Linked DNA regions of Mus musculus. The protein of the gene in region 1 purifies or fractionates together with the protein of each later gene. This does not show direct contact. Links are inferred from orthologs where the notes say so. Each region holds a gene or a part of one and is shown in the gene's direction. Other genes may lie near its edges.

Evidence for each region.
Region 2: the proteins of Wdr48 (region 1) and Ppp1r9b purify together in Homo sapiens (affinity purification with mass spectrometry; 3 studies listed by BioGRID and IntAct, with this or other methods). This does not show direct contact. The link is inferred for Mus musculus from reciprocal best matches to the Homo sapiens genes WDR48 and PPP1R9B.
Region 3: the proteins of Wdr48 (region 1) and Phlpp1 purify together in Homo sapiens (affinity purification with mass spectrometry; 5 studies listed by BioGRID and IntAct, with this or other methods). This does not show direct contact. The link is inferred for Mus musculus from reciprocal best matches to the Homo sapiens genes WDR48 and PHLPP1.

What each region holds. Positions count from the first base shown.
Region 1 is NC_000075.6:119,919,766-119,927,266, forward strand, and holds the end of Wdr48 (WD repeat-containing protein 48), read left to right. Parts: intron 1-791; coding exon 792-879; intron 880-2,852; coding exon 2,853-2,929; intron 2,930-4,312; coding exon 4,313-4,502; intron 4,503-4,943; coding exon 4,944-5,039; 3' UTR 5,040-6,814; downstream 6,815-7,501. UniProt on the Homo sapiens protein: Regulator of deubiquitinating complexes, which acts as a strong activator of USP1, USP12 and USP46. Enhances the USP1-mediated deubiquitination of FANCD2; USP1 being almost inactive by itself.
Region 2 is NC_000077.6:94,998,670-95,005,763, forward strand, and holds part of Ppp1r9b (neurabin-2), read left to right. Parts: intron 1-1,537; coding exon 1,538-1,642; intron 1,643-2,549; coding exon 2,550-2,685; intron 2,686-3,172; coding exon 3,173-3,325; intron 3,326-3,409; coding exon 3,410-3,463; intron 3,464-5,891; coding exon 5,892-6,121; intron 6,122-6,351; coding exon 6,352-6,448; intron 6,449-6,635; coding exon 6,636-6,689; 3' UTR 6,690-7,094. UniProt on the Homo sapiens protein: Seems to act as a scaffold protein in multiple signaling pathways. Modulates excitatory synaptic transmission and dendritic spine morphology. Binds to actin filaments (F-actin) and shows cross-linking activity. Binds along the sides of the F-actin.
Region 3 is NC_000067.6:106,386,350-106,393,850, forward strand, and holds part of Phlpp1 (PH domain leucine-rich repeat-containing protein phosphatase 1), read left to right. Parts: coding exon 1-172; intron 173-3,324; coding exon 3,325-3,553; intron 3,554-5,779; coding exon 5,780-6,991; 3' UTR 6,992-7,501. UniProt on the Homo sapiens protein: Protein phosphatase involved in regulation of Akt and PKC signaling.

The sequences.
Region 1 (7,501 bases):
AAAGACATTGCTTAATAAACCAACCCCCTTGCTAGGAAATGCTGCCCAAACAAACATGAGCAGTTGTCATTAAGAGTATCAGTTCCCTGAGATACTTGATGCCTGCTGCAGTAAATGTTAATAATGAAGGGCCAAGGTGAGATTCACACACACACACACACACACACACACACACACACACACACACACACACACACACACACACACACACACACACACCCTGCCCTGTTCCAGATGCCTGCCTCCAGGCCCTGTCTCTGGTGGCACTTTCTCTCTCTTTGCCAGTGTGGTTAATCTGACTGCCAGAGGCAGGAATCAAATATCATCATCATAGCAGTCCCTGCCCATGGGAGACTGGGCCAGGCAAGAGGGCGAGGCTGATCCTTCAAACTGCTATGATCTATACTGGTTCAACCTGGGGTGCAGGAAAATACTCTCTGGGTCCTCCAGGGAAGGGAAGGCTTCCAGCAAGCCCAGGGTGGAGCAGACAAAGTGTTACAGTATCACAGGGTTGTCAGAAGTGGGGATGGTGCTTGCCTTTCCCTTGAATATAGACTTTGTTCTTTGTGATAGTTCCTGAGCGTGGTAACCAAACTACAGCCCTCACCACAGCCGAGGTCTGGGCTGTGCATGGCACTGGCTAGGCCCTGGGCTGAGTGCTCCTTGTGGTGACCCAGGACTCAGAAGCAGCTCTCCCGTCACCTCTGCTGTCCGCAGTGAGCACTGTGAGGGTTTCTCCTCTGATGTCTCCTGCTCGTCTTAACACTGACTACCTGATGGGTTGTGTCTAGGCTGCTCTGCCGGGACTCCGGGGGTGAGACTGAGGCGATGCTTCTCAATGAGACGGTGCCACAATGGGTGATTGACATCACTGTGGATGTAAGTGTCCTTCACTCCCATTTTGTCCTTTGCTTTTCCCAGACATTAAGTCTTACACTGTAACAAAAGTCACCTGCCCGGCGGAATCCCCTCTGCGTGCGTTCGTTCCTGAAGTTCTAAAGGTGCAAACGCATCTGATAGTTATTTCAGACCAACTTTTACTTTTGTCTGGTTTCAGTCAGAACAATAATATAGGCTTATTCTAAAAAGGAAATCAGTGTTTAAAGTGCCCACCTCTTCCCAGCCATCCTCCCAGCCCTCCTCCCGGAGGGAGCACCTAATAGGAGGTTGGTGCAGCCTCTGCTACGTTCCTCACCTACATAAATACATGCTATTTGTGTGCATACATAAGTGTGTAGTTCATTTACTTTTGCACAAAATCTCTTACAGTGTTCTGCAACTTTTTTTTCCTTAAAAATAGTCTTGGACATCTCTCGATGCCTGTGTTTATGGACTGTTCCCTATTTTGTGTGTGTAAGAGTATCATTCTGTATTTGATTGTCCCCTTATTAATGGGCTCACGTTGTTTCCAGGGTTTTGTATTGCAAGCAGTGCTGCAGTGAACATCCTTGTACGTGTATCTTTATGAGCTTTTTAGAATAAATTCCTACAAGTGGAATTGCTGGATCAAAGGGTATGCATGTTTTAATGTGGATAGATCTTGCCGAATCGCCTTTTCACAGAGGCAGCTTACCCTGAACCAACCGTATGTGGTACCCCATTGCCACAGCCACAGCAACACTGCTCTGTCGGCAAACACCGTCTGATGATTTCAGTGTGGATGTTTGGTTACTCATGGTGAGGTTAGGAGTCTTTTCATACTGACCGTGAGTCTCTGCTGTGACCTGCCTGTTGGTCCTTTACCGCTTCTCTAACTGGGTCGTCATCTTACTGCCTCGCAGGTGATCTTCCAGTGCCAATTAACCTGACTCCTCTGCGCCTTCATTAAACTTTTACTTTGTTCAAGGTCCTTTCCCAGGTGGGAACTTGTTATATAGTCAAAGTGGGTTTTATGGCGCTGAGGTCCATGTTTTGTTAGAGATCACCCGGTTTAGAATATCCTTTATATCAACTCTGACTTGACTGTTTTCTTACTTGCCTCTCTGTTTGCTGTAAGGCGACATTCTTTTTCCAGTGAACTAAGCCATATGCCAATGCAGTTTATAGGAATCTGTCCGGTCTACTAATTTGAAATGCTATGCTGTCTGTATAGTGTACTAAATTCCTGCAGACTCAGTTTGTTTCTAGACTTTCTGTGTCCTCTTGACTACTTGTATATCCCTAAAGCCATATGAAAAGGGATTTAATCTCTTGAAACTTAAAAAAAAATTCTTTTCTATCCCAAATACACCTCAAGAACTTAGAACTAGAGTGACACCTGTTGGGTGTCCGTGGCCATCCCTGTCCAGGCTCCCATAAACCACTGTTTCTTTTGAGTATAGAACTCACTTGGGTGCAGTAGTGACCCTATGACATGAGCTGTGTTCCAAAACTGGCTGGATCATTTCAGCTGTCACGGTAGCCCTCCCTCTGTCTGAGGAAGAGGTAGATGGTAGGAGGGCCTGATAGCCTCTCCAGTGGACGATGGGCCATCAGTGCCCAAGTGTCTGCTCAAAGGTGAACGTTCTGGGGTGTTCTCAAAACACTGCAATCATCAGATATTTTGATTTATGGAACTTTAAAAATGTAGGTTTGTTTTCCTGTGCTGCCTTAAATGATAACTTAAGAAGAGCTGTGCCACTGTTGTTGACTACTATATATAATTTGTCTTCATCTATTTTTATTGTAAACTAAGCATACTTGCTGAGAAATTTTCTCTTAAGGCATACTTCTATTGATAACTTACTATAAATTTCACTAAAAGTCACTTTTATTGTAAAAATGGTTATTTGTAAATTGTTTTCCTTTTGATAACATTTTAGTTTTATCAGCTAACAGAAACTATTATACCTCTTAAACTTTTAATATTTCAGAAAAATATGCCCAAATTCAACAAAATTCCTTTCTACCTCCAACCTCATGCATCTTCAGGAGCAAAAACTTTAAAAAAGTAAGTAACTGCTGTGCTTCCGTGCGCTGGTCACTGCGGTGCCTCTGTCCTTTAGCTCCCTTTATCAGATGGAGGCAGGTGCTAGGTTGAAGGCCATTGCTTTGGGTTTTGTCTCCTCTCAAAATTAAGTTTAACCCATAGTTGCTGACACTGCCTTTTAAATCTTAGCACTTGGAGGCAGAGGCAGGGGCCAGCCTGGGCAGTAGAATGGTGAGTTCCAGGCCAGCCAAGACTACATAGCAAGACCATGTAGCCATGTGTGATGGCACACACCTATAATCCCAGTTCTTAGGAGGTAAACAGAGGGGATCCACAGTCTCCAAACCAAACAGTTCCTTTGAGGATAAAAACCTGTGTGTAGTGGCTGCTTTCACAGACCTTAGGAAAGGATGAAAGTGGGAGCAAACCAGCTCTGAACAGAGCCTTCTAGGAGGACAAGAAATCTCACCTGAACACACATGGATGGGTGGAGTACCCAAAGACAGACTTCCCAAACAGGACCTTGCTCGGGTACCAGAAATGGTATAGAGATGTGTGCTCCCATACATAGGATGGCGTGAAACGATACAGCTGAGTCAGAGGCTTCCTGACTCGGAATTTCAATGCCAGGTCACAGAGTGCAGTTCCACTAATTCCTGCTAGGTAGATATGGCTCAAAGACAAGCTTACAGCAGAGGACTTGGAGTCTGAACCATAATCGGTGTGTATGGCTAGCGAGTGAAATCAACGAGGCTGTTAAAACTGTCAGAGGGATTCCCAAGCTCACACAGAGGACAAGTTCCTGGTGACCCAGCAAATGAGGACAAACCTCTGTAATACTGAAACATAGTGTCCAACCCACACTTCCGCCTGCCCCTCCACCTCCTCCACATGCACGCATTGGATCACTTCAGCAAGCCGTAGACGCCACTTCAAGTGGATTTAATGACTCCACTTGAAGATCCTTGAACAGTTTGACCTGTAGCTGTGAGATAGGATAGTAGTTTACTGATATCAGAGATAAGGGCTTAAAAGTGAGGGACTTCAGTTGTGTAATGCTGGGTTTGTGGTCTGAGCAAGCTGTGGCTTAATGTCTAGCCTGGGGTATTCATTGTCTCCTAGTTGAAGGCACAGCAGTAGGAGATAACACTGAGCCCTTGGTCCTTAACTGGTGGGTCTACCCAGGCTTTAGCCGAGGGCTTGGAGGCATATAGTACAAGTGGCTGTTGTGTGTGCATGAGCCCTCGAAGGCACCACAGGATCTCTCCTGACAGATTTCAAGTGATTCGGAGCAATGACTGAAAACATGTATTGATTTCAGATGTCTGTTTATATTTATCTTGAGATATTGACACAAATGAAAAATAATAAGAGATTTTTGATATGAAAACCCATCTTTTCTAGAGACAGGCTGTCTGCCAGTGACATGCTGCAGGTCCGGAAGGTGATGGAGCACGTCTACGAGAAGATTATCAACCTGGACAATGAGTCCCAAACCACCAGCTCTTCTAATAATGAAAAGCCAGAGCAGGAGAAGGAGGAGGACATCGCGGTATTGGCAGAGGAGAAAATTGAACTTCTGTGCCAGGACCAGGTAAGTGGACCCATGCAGAGGGGCCCATAAAGTCACAGACCACGTGCTTTGTGGCCTCTCAGGTGTCTGGAGAGCTGTGTCTCTTGGAAACTTTCTTCAGCACACCTGAAGCTCCCTCTCCTGAGGGAGGTACTTGGGAAAGGACAGATTTCCAGATGCTCATAGTAGGGCTGTGCTGGGTAAACTGGTGCTATCTGTCACAGTAAAGAACTTGGAGTAGAGGTGGGTGGAGAAGCGATGAATTACAACCAAGACAAGCACTCTGTCATCAGGCAGGGTTGAGCTGGTGAGCCGCAGAGGTACACATTTCAGATTCCATGTATGGAAGCAAAAACCAGGCTCCTAGACACAGTGGGGAGCAAGCTGGACCACCTGGCAGAGTCCCTGGTTAACTTTAGCTGTTAGTGATGTTGACATTCTCAATGCACTTTGGCTATTCAGGTTTTGGACCCAAATATGGACCTTCGGACAGTAAAGCACTTCATATGGAAGAGTGGTGGGGACCTCACCCTCCATTACCGTCAGAAGTCCACGTGAGGGTGGGCCCATGCTCCTGGGTTCTTCACCAACCACCTTTCTCTGTGGCCCCAAGAGTAGTCCTAGGAAGCCCACCACGTCCTACGGGAGCAAGACCTCCAACCGGCCTATTTGGTGACGTGACTAATGGAGATGTAATATAGAAACCAGGCTCCATGCATAGATTAAGGTGTCCCCAGGGACTCAAGAGTGCAAGGACAAGCCCCTGGCACTGTCCGGGGAGATGTACAGAGAATCTACAACAGGCCAGTGCAGACTTCGCTGACTCCTTTTGAAGGACCCCCCTTTGTCTCTTAGCACTTGTTAGAGAACATCAGCGGGGCCACATCAGTCGCCATGTTTCAGTTTCAAACCCACAGGCTCTGCAGCTTTTCCAAGTACATTCCACTCATGCAGTACCTATGAAGGCTTTTTCCAAATTTGTCATTATATAAAAAAAAACAAGTTGTTTTCACTATGTAAGAGTTATTTTTAATGGAAATCACTGTTGCACAATTCAAGAGCCAGCCCATTTCCTGAGAAATGACCATGTTGGGCTACTTTTGAAATGCCACGTCTCAGCTGTGCTCTTGTAGGAAGACCTGCAACTCCAGGGCTGGAGCCTGCGCAGCACGTGGACCTGCAGGCTGCCACCCACAGCCTGTGCTGCGCAGTGCTGCCCATGGCGCCCTGGCTGTCCGATAGCCCAAGCTGCTGTGGCCACTCCTTCCGCCAGTCTTCCTCGCGGGCAAAGCCAGCGAAGCCACAGCTTCCTGCTCCGCGTGAGCAGCACGACAACTGTCAGAACTTACGGCCATGCTGAAGTTGCAGTTTCATTCAGATGCTACCTAAAGTTTATGTTACTAGAGTAAAAAGATCTCACAGTGAGTTGGTTTGATATTTATATTGTGGTTCATGTTTGTTTTTCCAGTTTTATACACGGGCTTTTGTTACGCCTTCGTCCAGGTCTTTCTGCCGTCTTTCTAACAGTCAAAAGCTTTCATAGACTCACTTGGATCTTGTACAGAATATTAACTTATTGGGGATAAACACTTCAACTTTTGGCAAAAACTACTTTGGATTCTTCCCAAGGTCATTTACATTCAGACAAATGGTCCAGCCCGTGAAGCTGCAGGAGATGAACCTTTGAGCACAGCGGAAGCACACGTGCCTTGGGGGTGGGGGGTGCAGCTTTCCCCATCCGTCCGTCTGCTCCTGCCTTGTGTGTGTGGTCCCTGCCCACAGGAGCACAGGGGAGGGGGGCTTGGGGAAGAAAGATGTTTTCTCTCTATCTCACAGGTCCTGCAGGGAACAGCTGAGGGGCCCAGATCTGTCCCTTACAAATTGACTGCAGAACAGGGTCCCCTCACTTAACTCTGGAACACAGACAGGCCATGGCTTCCATACCCTCAAGTGAGCAAGAACACTTGCCAGTGTTAAACCATTCTCCGCCCTAGAGTAGCCAGCTTTTCTACAGAAGTCCTTTCTATGCTGGACACATCGGTGCACTTTTGGTGCATATTTTTTAGTGATAGCTATAAAGTAAAAGCAGGGGGTGGGGTGGTCGTGTTTGCAGGAGGGGCCTCTGCACTAAGCGTAGGGTTTGCTGGTTGGTTCACTGGCGCAGTACTGATCCACAGGCAGTTGTGCCCCTATGGAGGAGTTTACCCCAGCATGGTTGTAATTTTTTCCCCAGCTAGTCAAAAATCAGTACTAAGTTTCCAGAAAACTGGACAGTCTGCAACGCCAAAGGGGCAGAGTCTGTATCTCGGGTTGTATAGAATAAAGCTTTAGTTACAAACACTTCAGTGTGCTGGACATGTTTATTTTTTCACTTGTCACTTTCCCCATAGCAGATTACAGGGAAAGAAACCATCTGGGGGTTCATACTTGAAACAGCATCAGCCTCCGTTTCACCCCACATGGGGTCCTGGGGAGCAGAACCTTCCAATGAAGGCAGCTGGGGGTCAGAGTGCCTAACCACAGCTAAATTGAGCTGGCCCCAGAGCAGCCCTGTGGTAAGCCATGTTGTACGGCCTCAGGCCTCTCAGTGGCCCCTGGGGAGCGGGGGCCTCACAGGCCTGGCTATAAATGTATTCCTAGTGCTTTGGGTTCTGTTTGCCCATCCAGGACCTGGCCCACTGAACCATTTGGCCTGTGCTTCTTGGAACAGAGTCCTTGGCTTACCAGCCTAAGTACCCTGAACAGACAGTTACATGGTCTGTGGATGATGGAACAAAGAGGCTGGAAAAGAAGACCAAAGGCAGCTTACAGTGATTGGCAAAGGACATGGAACTGGGGCTGCAGAGGACATGCCTGGCACCATCTGTAGCAAGGCAGCGGTGCAGCTGTCCTCTCGGAGACTGAGCCTGTAAAGGCTCCTTTCCCTTACGCTGAGGACAGGTGGGAGGGGCCTTTTCCAGCTCTTCAGGAGAAGAACCCTGAGCACGGGCAGGTGGAGGGGTTTTGACAGGAAGCGTAGT
Region 2 (7,094 bases), on another chromosome or scaffold:
GGCAGGTGCATTTCTGTGAGTTCGAGGCCAGCCTGGTCTACAAAGAGAGTTCCAGGACAGCCATAGCTATACACAGAGAAACCCTGTTCAAAACACAAAACAAACAAACAATAAAGTATGAGGGCCTGACCACTCTGACAGGTGGGCTTCTTGGAAGAAGTGATATTGAAAGAGCTGCAGGCCAAGCAGGAGCTAGCAAGGCCAAGTGAGGATATATAAAAGGTTCCTTGTAGTCAGGTGGAGTGGCTTAAGCCTTTAATCCCAGCATTTGGGAGGCAGAAGCAGGTGGATCTATGTGTTTTGAGGCCAGCCTGGTCAACACATAATGAGTTCCCAGATAGCCAGGAGTACATAGTGAGATCCTGTCTTGAAAAACAAAACGAAAATAAATAGAGATAAAAGGTTCCCTGTGAGCACAGAGCATCATGCATGCAGCATGACTCTGCCAGCTGAGCTATGTGCCCCCAGCCAGGTGGAAACCAATGGGGCAGGAATGTAGATAGCCAGGGATGCAGGGATGGATAGGATTGGGCTAGTTGTGGCCATGTTCTGGAGCCAAGGCTGCTCATTGCGTGTGCATAGGTGTGTGTGCCTGTGTGAAATATCTGTGGCCAGAGGCCTGGGGTTCCGTAAGTCAGAAGGTTCTCGAAGGGCATTAGAGCTCTGGCACCCGGGCTCCTCTGTGCCAGGTTTTCGGTTGTGTGTGTTGCAGGGGGAGGAAGTGGGAACGGCTAGGCTTTCCCTCAGGAAAGCTGTGAAGGGTTGACACCCACACCCCCTCCACGTGCCAGGCATGAGTGGTGAGGGCTGGGTTACTGTAGGTAGGGTCATGTTAGAGGCATGGGGGCCCACGTAAGAGGGCTTTTGCCTGCTGCAGCATAGGTGGCAGGAAAGCAGCGGGGACAGAAAGGATGGCGTCCTTCGGGCACTTCCCTCCCTTTCCAGAGCTTGGCCATTGCCACCTGTGTGCTAGCAGAGCAGGTATGTCAGCATCCTGGGCGAAGGTGGCCTATAAGGGGGAAAACTGCTCGCCTCAGGCATTCTCTCTATTTCCACCTGAAGCCCCAAGAGGCTCAAAACCTCCCAGGAGGTGGAAGAAGATATCCAAGTCTTCCCCCATCTTCTGCTCTTGTGTGTGTGTGGGGGGCAGGACACCCCCACAGCTAGATTGTGCCGGGGTGTGCAACTTTGTGGATGTGGATTGGTGTGTGAGCAGGAGAGGAGAACGCTTGGGTTCAAGGCATTTGGGTGGGCATTGGGGTAGTGGCATATGTCATGTAAAAATGAGCTCTGAGCAGGTCACATCACCCCATTGAGTATGACTGGAGACAAGAGTATGGTTGTTCCAGGAAGTATGCTGGCCACCTTTCGTAGTCCTGGATAACTGCATCTGTGTTGCCTGGCTCTCTCTCGGTTCTCTCGGACCTTTTCTGGGAACCTTGTCGGGACTGAGCCTTGAGTTTCCAGTGGGAAGAGTCCACCTTTAACCCAGCTCCTGTCCCTCTCATGACCCCCTAACCAACCTCACTTTCCCTAGGATCCAAGTGAACGACCTGCTGGTGGAGGTGGATGGGACGAGCCTGGTGGGAGTGACCCAGAGCTTTGCAGCCTCTGTACTTAGGAACACCAAAGGCCGAGTGCGGTGAGAGTCAAGGGAACAGTCAGAAAGCTGGTCCTCTCCGCACCAGGTCCCTGCCCGGGGAATTGTGCCTGCAGCCCCCTGCCAGGCCTGCCTTCCCATCCTGAGATCCCTGATCACCACTGAGACTCAGGCTTCCACTCTCCTTGTTCCTCCATGTTCTCCTCTCGGTTTATTCTCCTCTTCTTCTGCCTCTGGCTCGCCTATGGAAAACCAAACTAGCTTCTCCCACCTAGAGCTTCATCCCAGGTCCTGTTGGGCTCCACTAAGTCTGTGTGCTCCTCTGGCAGGTCACCTGGGAACTGCTGCCTGCCCCACTTCTAGAGGGGCACTGCCCCCAGGAAAGGGTGTTAGAGAGAAACAGGATGTGGGTGGCCAGGGGAGGGGGGAGGAGCTGATGCCTGGAAGTCCCACTGTTTCCTCCCCGTGCTAATCTGCAGTTGCCATCATCCTGCCCCTTCCTGACCCGGGGCTTGGAGCACACCCAAGTCACACCTCTACAGGCTATTCCCCATTCCCGAGGATGGGCCATTTTGCCCACTCCTGTGCTGTTGGCTTGGCTTGGCTTTGTGGTTGTTGTTTCCTCTTTGGTGGGAACAGCTCCTATGCCGAGAGCCCCTGAGCCCATGTCCCCTGTAGCCCCGAAGCATGGTTGACAGCCCCTTCCCACAGCTGGCCAGGAAGGTGAGCAGGTCTTCCTGCTTCTCCTGGTAGGCAGCCATGTGAGAGCCCCAGCTCCCCTATTCATTATTTATTCTACAGCTTCTGGACTCAGGCTCTCAGTTCACCTCCCCTGGGAGGGCCTAGGTTTGGAGGGAGGGCCCCACACAACAAGGAAGGCAGTGGCATTCCCAGCTGTAGCCAGGCTGGGGTGACGCCAGAATGACAGATGACTCTGGTGCCCCTGCAGGTTCATGATTGGCCGGGAGCGGCCTGGAGAACAGAGTGAAGTGGCCCAGCTAATTCAGCAGACCTTGGAGCAGGAGCGATGGCAGCGGGAGATGATGGAGCAGAGATACGCCCAGTATGGAGAGGATGATGAGGAGGTAGGGCCGTGACTGCCCTCTGGTGGTTAGATGAAGCAGCGCACTCATTTGCCTCAACTACTTTTTCCAGGCTTGGTAAAACAAAAAGCAAAAAACAAAACAATAACAACAAAAAACCCCCAAGTCCCAGGGGAACTTATGGTCTGAGAGAGAAGCAGACCCTCCCCTCAGAGAACTCCGGGTCAAACAGGAGAGTCCCACTCTTCTGCCTCCCTATAATTAGAAGGAAAACACAGTCCTCTCTGAGTCTTTTCTCTGGGGGGAGCCCCTAATCTAGGGAGCCTGATTAGGAGAGCGATGGGTCCTCAAGGAAGCCGAGTTATGGAGGAAACAGTACAGGGGGTTCTGCAGGCCTGCAGTGTCCCTATTCTAGCCGTGGAGACCCCCCAGTCCAACATGAGCATACTGCTGCTGGTGTCCGGCCTGGCTGCAGGGTTGCTGAGGGAAGTGGAGTAGATGGACCCACATTGCCTGCATCCCTCCACAGACAGGAGAGTATGCCACCGACGAAGATGAAGAACTGAGCCCAACGTTCCCAGGGGGTGAAATGGCCATTGAGGTGTTTGAACTAGCAGAGAACGAGGATGCGCTGTCCCCCGTGGAGATGGAGCCCGAAAAGCTGGTGCACAAGTTCAAGGAGGTTGGAAAAGGGGGGCCCTGGGACAGTGGGGGAAGGCAGATGGGTAGCTGGCCCTAGGAGCTGAGTGCCACCCTCTGTCCGCAGCTCCAGATCAAGCATGCTGTCACTGAAGCGGAAATCCAGCAGCTGAAACGGAAGGTGAGGGTGCGCGTGCCTGTGTGCTCGTGAGTGCCTGCTGAAGACCCCGGCTGAACGCTGGAGGAGGGAGCTCTGCCTTCACACAGGCAGCCTCCTAACATACGACGGTTTACCATGGGCTACTGTGAGACCAGGGATATCAGGATTAAGGGCCCAAGAGCTCTGGCCCATCTGTTCCCCTATTCATTCACTTGGGTGTCTTCCCCCTCATATGTAAGGTGTGGTATAAGAGCATAGAGCTGGGTAGATGAGAAGCCACTGGGACGATATATGGAAATCCTGCAGCAGAGCCAGGAAGGCTGCAGCCTGCTTTAGGGTCAGTGCTCAGTCGAGAGTCAGTATCAGCAAGTCCACGGTGATGAACCAAGTCTTACTCCTTGTGTATGTGTGTCCTGCTCAGCAGCCATCCACTCTGCACGGGCCCTGAGATAAGATAGAGACTTTTTGACACAGTGGTGCATATAGTGACACACGCCAGCCTGAATCCACAGACCCATTCAGTTAGACACCTACACACTCCGTCTGCACCGATAATGATTTCCAGACACCCGTGATCGATTCTGTCAGGGGCATTGTGGCCTGAGTAGGTAGACCCATTCTGTCCTTGAGGTTCCAGAAGCGCACAGACACAACCACCATTCAGGCCACCCGGCCTAGGAAGAGTGTCAGAGGACGTGCACAGTTTTACCTGGGCCAGCAGCACACATGCTCGTACTAACAGCACCAGCTGGTAACCACACATGGCTACTGTACATGCCTACCAGATGCTTACAAGCACATTGGGTACCCACACGCTCCCAGGCATTGGAGACACACAGATTTCTATATATTGAAGGAGTCCCAACTCCCACGGGGTTTCCGGGATAGTAGGATAAACCAATCTCCAGGGGCCATGGAGATGCAGCACAATAGGAATATGTGTGTCCTCTCCCACATAGATGGAGGAGGGCAGGGGACGGGCATCCAGGGCAGTGCAGGGGTTTCTGGGAGCTTGCAGGCTGACTTTGGAAGGAGGCCTGGTAGGGTATGGTAGCTGTTCCTGCTGAGAGAGGTGAAGAGGCAGCTAGATGGTGGGAAAGCTAGAAAAATCGACACTGTGTAGACCTCACCCTTCAAGAACTGTAGCCTCGGTTCTGCAGGCACGGAGCTGTGGACCCTAGAATTGTGTTCGAAGTTCACCATCTAGGAAATGGGGGCGGGTGTGGGAAGGAGGCTTGGGGGTAAGAAAGACTTGAATATGGACAAACTGGTTAGAGGCTTTGTCGGAGGCTGTCAGGGAGAGTCAGGATACAGGCCAGGGATGAGAAGGAAGGACCAGGCTGCATTTTTTTGGGGGGGTGGGTGCTCTCAGGACATGAAGCAGACGGTGGGTCACAGGTGGTTTCAGGAGTCACAGGTGGTTTCAGGCTCAGAAAGCAAAGAGGCATTCAACTGACAGACATCTAAGGTAACTTCCAGACAGCTAATGCCACTTCAGGCACAGTTAGGAGTAAAGGCAGAATTGACCCTGGTCCTCGTGTGTCTTAATGAGTCTGCATACTGTTATGTTTCTACCTCAGCCTCTAGCTCAGGAAGAACCCTGTCCCGTTGCAGGGCAGGGAATGCTGCCCTACTGAAGTCCCAGCAGGCTTCTCTGGGAAATTGGTACACAACAGGCTTACAAGGAAGGGTAGATGGGGCATTCCTAGCAGAAGGAACTACCTGAAAAGGCCTTGTGGCAAGTGTGAGGGTCTGCAGGAAGGCCTGAGGCATCTAGGCTTAGAAAGCACGAGGTGTTTGCAGCAAGCAAGACAGAAGTACAACCAGGACCCGTTTGGACTGCTGTGGGACAGCAGCATCTTCCACCAGGCAGGGAAGTGATAAGAGCAGGCTCAGGCTGGGGGGGGGGGGGGTCCAGGGAACAGTGCCGTTTGGGGCATGGTACCTCAGACTTCGAGGTGGGTCTAGATTAGGTACAGGATCCTGCGGGAGCTCAGGACTTGGGGCTCTGTGCATAGAACTGCTGTGTGAGGTGCTGCTGTTTGAAGCTACAGAGAGCAGAATGCAGACTGAGCTGTCAGGAATCCAGTCCCCTGGGAGCTGGAAAGGGGCTGGATTATTCAGGAATCTCCAAAGATAGGGACTGGTCAACAAACCAGGGCTACAGAGGGCTGGCTCAGAGCTGGTCTGGTGGTGACTGTCTTTCGTAGCTACCATCTCCCTAGCCCTGAGGCATGTCACTCCCATCTTTAGGATAAGGCAGAAGTTGCTAATTGGTGGTGACTCATGGGTGCCTGCTACCGCCCCTAGCAGAACTCTAAGGTCAGCCTCAGAGAATTAGTAGCTGGGGGCCAGTTGGCTCCAAGAGTGCAGGAATCCTTAGAAGCTGTTGGCTCCCCCCAGGGCTCACTCTGGTCTCCTCCAACCCAGGGCTGCTCTTTTCTCACAGTTGCAGAGTCTGGAGCAGGAGAAAGGGCGCTGGCGGGTAGAGAAGGCCCAGCTGGAGCAGAGCGTGGAGGAGAATAAGGAGCGGATGGAGAAGCTAGAGGGCTACTGGGGTGAGGCCCAGAGCCTGTGCCAGGCTGTGGATGAGCACCTGCGGGAGACCCAGGCCCAGTATCAGGCCCTGGAGCGCAAGTACAGCAAGGCCAAGCGTCTCATCAAGGACTACCAGCAAAAGTATGTGTCAAGAGCGTTGGGTCTAGGCCCAGGCAGGTGGAGGGGCCTTTAGTGGTAGTCCCCACCCCAGCCTTCCTCCCGCTGAGGAGGGAGACAGTGGACACAGAGTTAGAGGGCACCACGATGGGGTACCAGACTCAGCCCTATGGGCCTTGGGAAAGCCTGCTTCTCTCTGGACCAAAGCCACACCATTCACCCGAACCCACCATCTGTTCCTTGCCTGTCTCCAGGGAGATCGAGTTCCTGAAAAAAGAGACAGCCCAGCGTCGGGTACTGGAAGAGTCGGAGCTAGCCAGGAAGGAGGAAATGGACAAACTTCTGGACAAGGTAGCGCCCTGGGCAGCCTACAGAGTGAGCAGCATGGAAGCTGGAATCCAGTACTCACTTAATCCATGGTGTTTGGGAAGGATTGTGGTGCTGGCTGGGAGCTCAGGGTCGTAGCTTAGGGTGGGGGTAAAGTTACAGGGCCCGTGCTGAGTGGCCAGGCCTGATGCCTCCTCTCTTTGTTCTCTAGATCTCAGAACTGGAAGGAAACCTGCAGACACTGAGGAACTCCAATTCTACTTAACAGGAATAACTCCTTGGCCGGACAATAATAATCCCCTCCCATTATCCTCACCCCCTGTCCTCAATCCCCACCCCACCCCTACCAGCCTGGGGACAGGTGCCCCGACTTCCCCTACTCCTCCACCCCACCTCCCCCAGCTTCAGGGACCAGAGGGCCCATATTACAGGCCCCTTTAGGGTGGCCAGGGCAGACAATGCTGGCTGGAAGAGTGGTCTCCTTGCCCTGTGGGGCTGAGGCGCAGAGGCCGAGAGAAGCTAAGAGCTGGCCTGGGTGGTGGATGGACACGAGGACCTGCAGACCAAACTGCCAGACTTTATAACCTCCAGCCTGTGTCTCTGGACCGGAGTGGAGCTGGGGCTCTCCCAGCATCTCACCACTTGGAGGCTGCTCCCTGCCCACAGGGTC
Region 3 (7,501 bases), on another chromosome or scaffold:
TAAATAACTTCCGTGACAACCGAGAGGCCCTCTATGGTGTGTTTGATGGAGACCGGAATGTGGAGGTGCCCTACCTTCTCCAGTGCACCATGAGTGACATTTTGGCTGAAGAGCTTCAGAAAACGAAAAATGAAGAAGAATACATGGTCAATACATTCATAGTCATGCAAAGGTAAATGGCTATTTCCTCCTTCCCCTCCATCTCCTCCTCTTCCTCCTCTTTTTCTTCCTCCTCTCCCTCCGCCTCCTCCTCTGCCTCCGCCTCCTCCTCCTATTTTATTTATTTATTCTTGCTCTTGTTTGATGCTTCTCTCTTACTAGAAAAGCTGGTGCCTTGTGATCACAGTGCACATGTGGCTGAGTGCTGCAGCTGCTCTCAGGCTTCACTGTCAGGGATGGACTGTGCTTCAGTTTCCAATGCACGGATACTCCTCCTTAAGTCAGTGACAGAGATCTCATTTCTCACAGAACTGAGCGTTAGTGGCCTCTGTTGGTAACATTTTCATCGTTTACAATACCCAGCCTCCCCCAACCAGAGGAACACCATAGGCTCCTTAGATTGTCTCATGTGGGATATGGAATTTTCTCTGGAATGCATCATTTTTCTCCCAGTTTGTTGGCCATAGGAAATGCTTTCACTGGTTTGAAACTGAATGGGTCAGATTTTAGACTTGTTTTAAACCATTGTTGTATGCTACCCTCTTTCCCTTATTCAGTATTGATGTAAGTATTGCTAACTTCTGGGCTGCTACCTCCCTCTTACTGTGCCTGCACCAGAGCTTCAGGTCACTGCAAGAACTAGCCCATGCCACTTGAGCTCTCAGGGTCATGTGCTACGAGGGTTCCTTCAGTCAAAAATTTTCATTCTTTTGTCACCTTGTGGGCTTTATGGATTGTAAAGGAATTGCCTACTGAAGAGCAGACCCTGCTCTTATAAGATCGATGGTGATGAATATCCTAGTCCTTTGACGGTTATGGCAGCATTGATGAGCTCTCTCCTTTACTTCCTCTCCCCACGGGTAACCTGACAGAGATGATGGCTGGGTACCAAAATAGACAGTATCTACCTGCTGTGGAATGCTGCCCTGAGCAGCCTCCACAGTTATGTCTGCCTCACGCACAGCCAAGGCAGGCAGGTTTCTGGCTCTTGCTTCCAATGCTCCCCTTATCTGCCAAGTTCCTAGTGGGTGCAGACAGCAGTTGACTAGCAAATAGTCATTGTTCTAACTACCTTATATGTCCTGATGTTCCCCCAATGAGATATGCATTGCTGCTCTTCATATCTTGTTTGTGAAACCAAACTGCATAGAGGTGAAGCAAAGTACCCCCCAGGCCCAGTACAGGCAGAATCCTGAGACCCCATGGATGCTCTGGCCACCAGACATAGTAACTTGGCTGCTTTCAGCCACCTCCTTGTCCCTGAAGTCAGGAAATATGATACACACAGACAAAGATGCACACATATACACATACCATGTATATGTGTACACACACACACACACACACACACACCATCCACATAGGCCTCTAGCCTACAAATTTCTCACCAGTCGTTGTGCATTTGAAAGTCATGCTGCCTTAGAAGCATGCACCAGTCAGATATGGTCGTGGAATCCTATGACAGGCCGACCTGCAGTGTCGTCTTTGTGACTTTTGTCTGTTAGTTAACAGGTTATAAGACCAGGCAGCACTTCAGTCCTTAGAGTAACTGCCTATTCATTGTGCCTAGCTCTCAAGGGTGTGTGGCTAGGTGTCCCTGGTTTCCGTCGCTTCTGTCCCCAGTTGTCTAACTTATATTCTGACAATGCTTCAGAGTCTTTCCTGCCCTCATTAGGCAAGAGAGGCAGTTTTTCCTTTTTGTTTCTGTTTTTTTATGACTGTCATTATGGGAAGTTTGGAGGAATGACCATTGGTTGGACATGTGATGAGAGTTCTTTGCTCTTTATGATGGTCAGTATTTATAGGGGCTCCAAATATTCAATAAGTACACAGGTTAATTGACAGCGGAGGATAAGGCAAAAACACTTGGTGTTTGATGCCAGAATGGTGTCCTATAGCTGTCATAGAACAAATAGTGCTGATCAAGAGAGTCTCGGCTGGAGCTGGAGAGATGGCTCAGCGGTCTATACTCCTCTTCAAGAGGACCTGAGTTCAATTCCCAGCAACCACATGGTGGCTCACAACCATCTGTAATGGGATCCGATGAACTCTTCTGGTGTGTCTGAAGACAGCTACAGTGTACTCATATTAAATAGATAGATAGATAGATAGATAGATAGATAGATAGATAGATAGATAGATAGATAGACAGACAAATAAATAAATAAATAAATCTATCTTTTAAAAAAAGAAAGTCTTGGCTGCATGGACAAGAATGGCAGTGAACATCCTCTAGAAGAATGGTGATTCTAGCTTATCATACTTTTATTTGTTGAGTTTTGTTGTTATCTCTTAGAAGCCTGTTCTTTTCTAATGAGAAACAGAATGAGAGTGGATATAAATGGGAAGGGAAGGAGAGAAGAACTGGGAGAAGTAGAGGGAGGAGAAACTGTAATCGGGATATAGTACAGGAGAAAAGAATCTATTTTCAGTAAACGAGGAGAAAATGAAAATAAATAAATAAAAGACTTTTTCTAAATTCTCAGTGCTACACTGAGTGTAGTCCCACCAGTCTGGAATAAAGACTTTGTAGTCCCACCAGTCTGGAATAAAGACTTCTAATAGATAGATAGATAGATAGATAGATAGATAGATAGATAGATAGATAGATAGATAGATACTTCTGATAGATAGATAGATAGATAGATAGATAGATAGATAGATAGATAGATAGATAGATAGATAGATAGATAGATAGACAGACAGACAGACAGACAGACAGACAGACAGACAGACAGATAGAATGGTGGTTAGGATAAGTGTGCAGTTCATGCATAGATACTGTGTTTGTACCTATTCAGATTTTTGTGGGAATAGAGGATTTGGAAAAGTGAGTGGGAAAAGAAGCAGCCCTTTCTTGATGGTTTGGAATATAGTGCTGGGCTGTATAACTGATGCAGGGCAGCAGGCTAGACACAACAGGCCAGGACCAGCAAAACGGCTTTTAATCAAAAGGTGATCCTTCCCTACCACATATGAGCAGATACCTCTCTATGTGAATGTGTGTAGTGTCAGATTCCAGGGACCTTTTTCTTCTTGGAAGCTGAGTGGCTTTGCTGGACAGGACTAAGTCTAATCTATGGCCCTGTACCCTGTGTCATCTTTCTTCTGAATGGACAAAATGTGGTAAGGTGTTTGAGTGTTCACCCTTCTCTTTGGGTTCAGGAAACTGGGAACTGCTGGGCAGAAACTTGGTGGTGCTGCTGTCCTCTGCCACATCAAGCCTGACCCTGTGGACCTGGGAGGATCCTTTACCCTGACCTCTGCTAATGTTGGCAAGTGCCAAACGGTTCTCTGTCGAAATGGGAAGCCACTGTCTCTGTCCAGGTCATACATCATGAGCTGTGAAGAAGAGCGGAAGAGGATTAAGCAGCACAAAGCCATCATCACTGAGGTGAGGAGCCAGTTTTCCTCAGACAGCAGGAGAACACGAGCAGCACCCCCTGGTGGAGACCCCTCGGGAAACACTTGTCTTCAGAGGAAACTTGATGTTAGTTCAGATGTAGCTTTCCAAGTCCATGGTATTACAAAGTAAATTCCTTGGTGCTGTCTTTAGATTACTGAGGAATATCTCTATGGATTATTATAGAATAATAAGGCAGTCATCAGTTGCATAGAGTTGGGAATGCTTCCTGGGAACTGTCCCAGTGGATCTCAGAGCTACTGGCTAAGTGGCTGAGAACTGGACTCCTGAATCACACTTCTGCTTTGTATCTCAGCTATGTATAAAGTAGATATCAGACACCTGCCTTGCTTTACAATGGTAGTCTGGCACAATAACTGTGGTGTCTGTATAACTATATAACTATTTTCTGTTTTGCCAGTTGAATAATACTGTTCTCAGGGACAGGAGGCAAAAATACAAGGCCTATAGATATATTTGATCATCAAAATCAGCGCATGATTGCCATAGAGAGAGGAGAAGCTAGATCTATGGCTAAAGAGGTTACAGTGTGGGCATAGTCCCACAACAAAGATTTACCTGGTCCCAAATGGCAATAAAAAAATAAAAAAAAAAATTGCTGTTTTAAAACAAAAAACAAACAAAACCAGCTAGAATAACAGTAGAGCATGATCCATTGTCAATGAATCTTGAAAACTAGCTTCTGCAGTTCTTTATTTGCTAATTTACCAGCATGTCAGTCACTCAACATTACCTGGAAGTACCCATACACATCTGCTGACAAGAACCTAACCTCCTCTTAGCAGTAAAACTCACAGAACAATGCACTGTCTGAAGGTGAGAGGGAAGGGGAGTGTCCAGAAGAGAAAAAGAGGCTATGTTGAGCATCCCAGAAAGACACCAAGGTGCCGTGAGTCCTTGGACGTGAGCACACATATAAATTGAGTTCCCTGTCTGTCCCAGCACTGAAGGTTAAAGTGGATGTTGAGCACAGGTTAGGAGAGTGGGCACTGTACTGCTGTCCAGAAGAGTGAGCTGAGCGGCAACACTGTAGAGAAAAAGATGTCTGCCACATGCATCAGAGTTCGTAGGTCAGTTGTGTTATCCCCTTTCCTCCCCTGCTTCTCTTCCTGACTTCTGCTTGCTCTGCTCAGTCTTCAACAGTGACTAGTTCTCACACCACCCCTTCCGTTCCTTGAAGATGCCCTCAAAGCACAAACTGGGGAGAAGGCTGAAGGGTGGCTAGAGTAGCCAGCCCCCACACCAGGCAGGGCGGATTTCATTACTAGAGTCAAGGGTGTTTCAAACTGCTTGAAAGGCTGTTTTACTCATCTTAGTTCCTAGGCTGCCCCCTGGTCTAAGCATGGCTGCTGAGGTCTCTTTGGAAAGGCACCCAGGAACAAGCAGATAACTCGGGAAGCACAGGAGGAGGCAGGCACTGAGCGGAAGCACGGGGCATTCTCTTGAAGAAGCACTGTTTGTGAGTCCAGAGACTCACAAAAGTTGTATCCGCCATTGCAGAACCTTGTGTGGCAGGAAGTGTTAGAAGTAGGAGAGTGGGGGTGGATGTGGCTGTAAGGCAGAGATCCTCACACCTGGAAGGTAGAGAACACAGCAGCTGCATGTAGCTAAGATTTAAAAGTACTCATCTTTTCCCCCAGCAAATGGCCTGGATTTGGCTGCTGGTCTAAATAGAACCAACTGTCTAAGACTGGGCACCATGGTTTCTACATTTGTCCTTGTAAGTCAGGTTCAAGAAAGGCCTAAGGATGGGTACTTCTGTTAGCATTGCCTCTCCAAACATGTGAGCACTGTGACTCAGATACAGACATCCGTGGGTCACAACAGACTGACTCCCTAGCCCTTTTCCATGCTGATTGTGCTGCTGGACAGTCATGAGGTTGGACTGTACCTACCCTGGGTGTTTCTATGGGACTTACCTCTCTAGAATCTAATAAGCATGCATGCCATGTGAGGCTGTACATCAGCTTGTCATGAAGAGACATACCATTTAGTATAAATGCAGTCCCTGTTAAAGGGATGGCTGAAATACTTCTTTTTGTTCCTCTACACTTCAGCCTTTCCATATAGGGTGTGTGAGCCTCCTTCGTGGGATGCCCAACACCGTCCTGTGACCCAGTCAGTGGCCCAGAGGGAGGCTGCTCAGTAACCACATGTGCTCTGTGCTCACTGTCTCTTTGGAAATTTTTCTTCTAGGATGGCAAGGTCAATGGAGTGACAGAGTCCACGCGCATCCTGGGCTACACCTTCCTCCATCCCAGTGTGGTGCCTCGCCCCCATGTGCAGTCGGTGCTTCTGACTCCACAGGATGAGTTTTTCATCCTGGGCAGCAAAGGGCTGTGGGACAGCCTATCCATTGACGAGGCTGTGGAAGCTGTACGCAATGTGCCAGATGCTCTGGCTGCTGCTAAGAAGCTCTGCACCCTGGCTCAGAGCTATGGCTGCCATGACAGCATCAGTGCTGTGGTGGTACAGCTAAGTGTCACCGAAGACAGCTTCTGCTGCTGTGAGCTCAGTGCTGGAGGGAGCATGCCACCACCCAGCCCCGGAATCTTCCCACCATCCGTCAACATGGTCATCAAGGACCGACCCTCAGATGGGCTGGGTGTGCCATCCTCCAGCAGTGGCATGGCATCTGAGATCAGCAGTGAACTGTCTACCTCCGAGATGAGTAGTGAGGTGGGCTCCACAGCCTCTGATGAGCCCCCGTCTGGAGTCCTGAATGAGAGCAGCCCTGCCTACCCCAACGAGCAGCGCTGCATGCTCCACCCTGTCTGCCTGTCTAACTCCTTCCAACGTCAGCTGTCCAGCGCTACTTTCTCCAGCGCGTTCTCTGACAACGGCCTTGACAGTGACGATGAAGAACCCATTGAGGGGGTGTTCAGCAACGGCAGCCGGGTTGAGGTGGAAGTAGACATCCACTGCAGCAGGGCCAAGGAAAAGGAGAGACAGCAGCACCTACTTCAGGTGCCAGCTGAGGCCAGTGATGAGGGCATTGTCATCAGTGCCAATGAGGATGAGTCAGGTCTGTCCAAGAAGGCAGACTTTTCTGCTGTGGGAACCATTGGACGACGCAGGGCTAATGGCTCTGTAGCTCCCCAGGAAAGGAGCCATAATGTGATAGAGGTTGCTGCAGATGCGCCTCTCCGGAAGCCAGGAGGCTATTTTGCAGCCCCTGCTCAGCCAGATCCAGATGATCAGTTTATCATCCCCCCAGAGCTGGAAGAGGAAGTCAAAGAAATCATGAAACATCACCAGGAGCAGCAGCAGCAGCAGCAGCAGCAGCAGCTGCCACCACCACCCCAGCCGCCACAGCCACAGCCACAGCCACAGCCACAGCCACAGCCACAGCCACAGCGGCACTTCCAAATGGATCACCTGCCAGACTGTTACGATACACCGCTATGACCCAGCCTGAGTACTGTTTTAAACAATAAACTAACCAGAGAGACTGAGAGTCTCCCAGGCTCACATTAAACCAGGGGTGTTAACTTCATGCCCTCTCCCAGACACTGCCCCACCTGTCTCTGCAGCTCATCTGTAGGTTCTCTTTGTATTGGTTACTTTTAACAATTAACCACTTTTCTTCTAGTGATACTTTACCAATATGATTTAAATTTGTTAACTTCTTTCCCTAACATATCAACTGTGTAAAGACAAAGAACAAAAGGTTTAATATATTACAGAGAAACAGTTAATGATAATGTAATATTTTTAAAAATGGCTTTTGTTGTTTTGTTTGTTTGGAAGGCAGGGCAAGTTGCCATTGCTAAATGATTTAATAATATTGTAATTGTGTATTTCTTTGTGGGGAAAGCTTTTTTTTGTCTTGAAAATGGTAGACATTTGTAGAATATGGCGACTAACTCCTAGGAGTTGCTTTACTCTGTCAGGTGACTTAAGTCACTGGGAGTCACT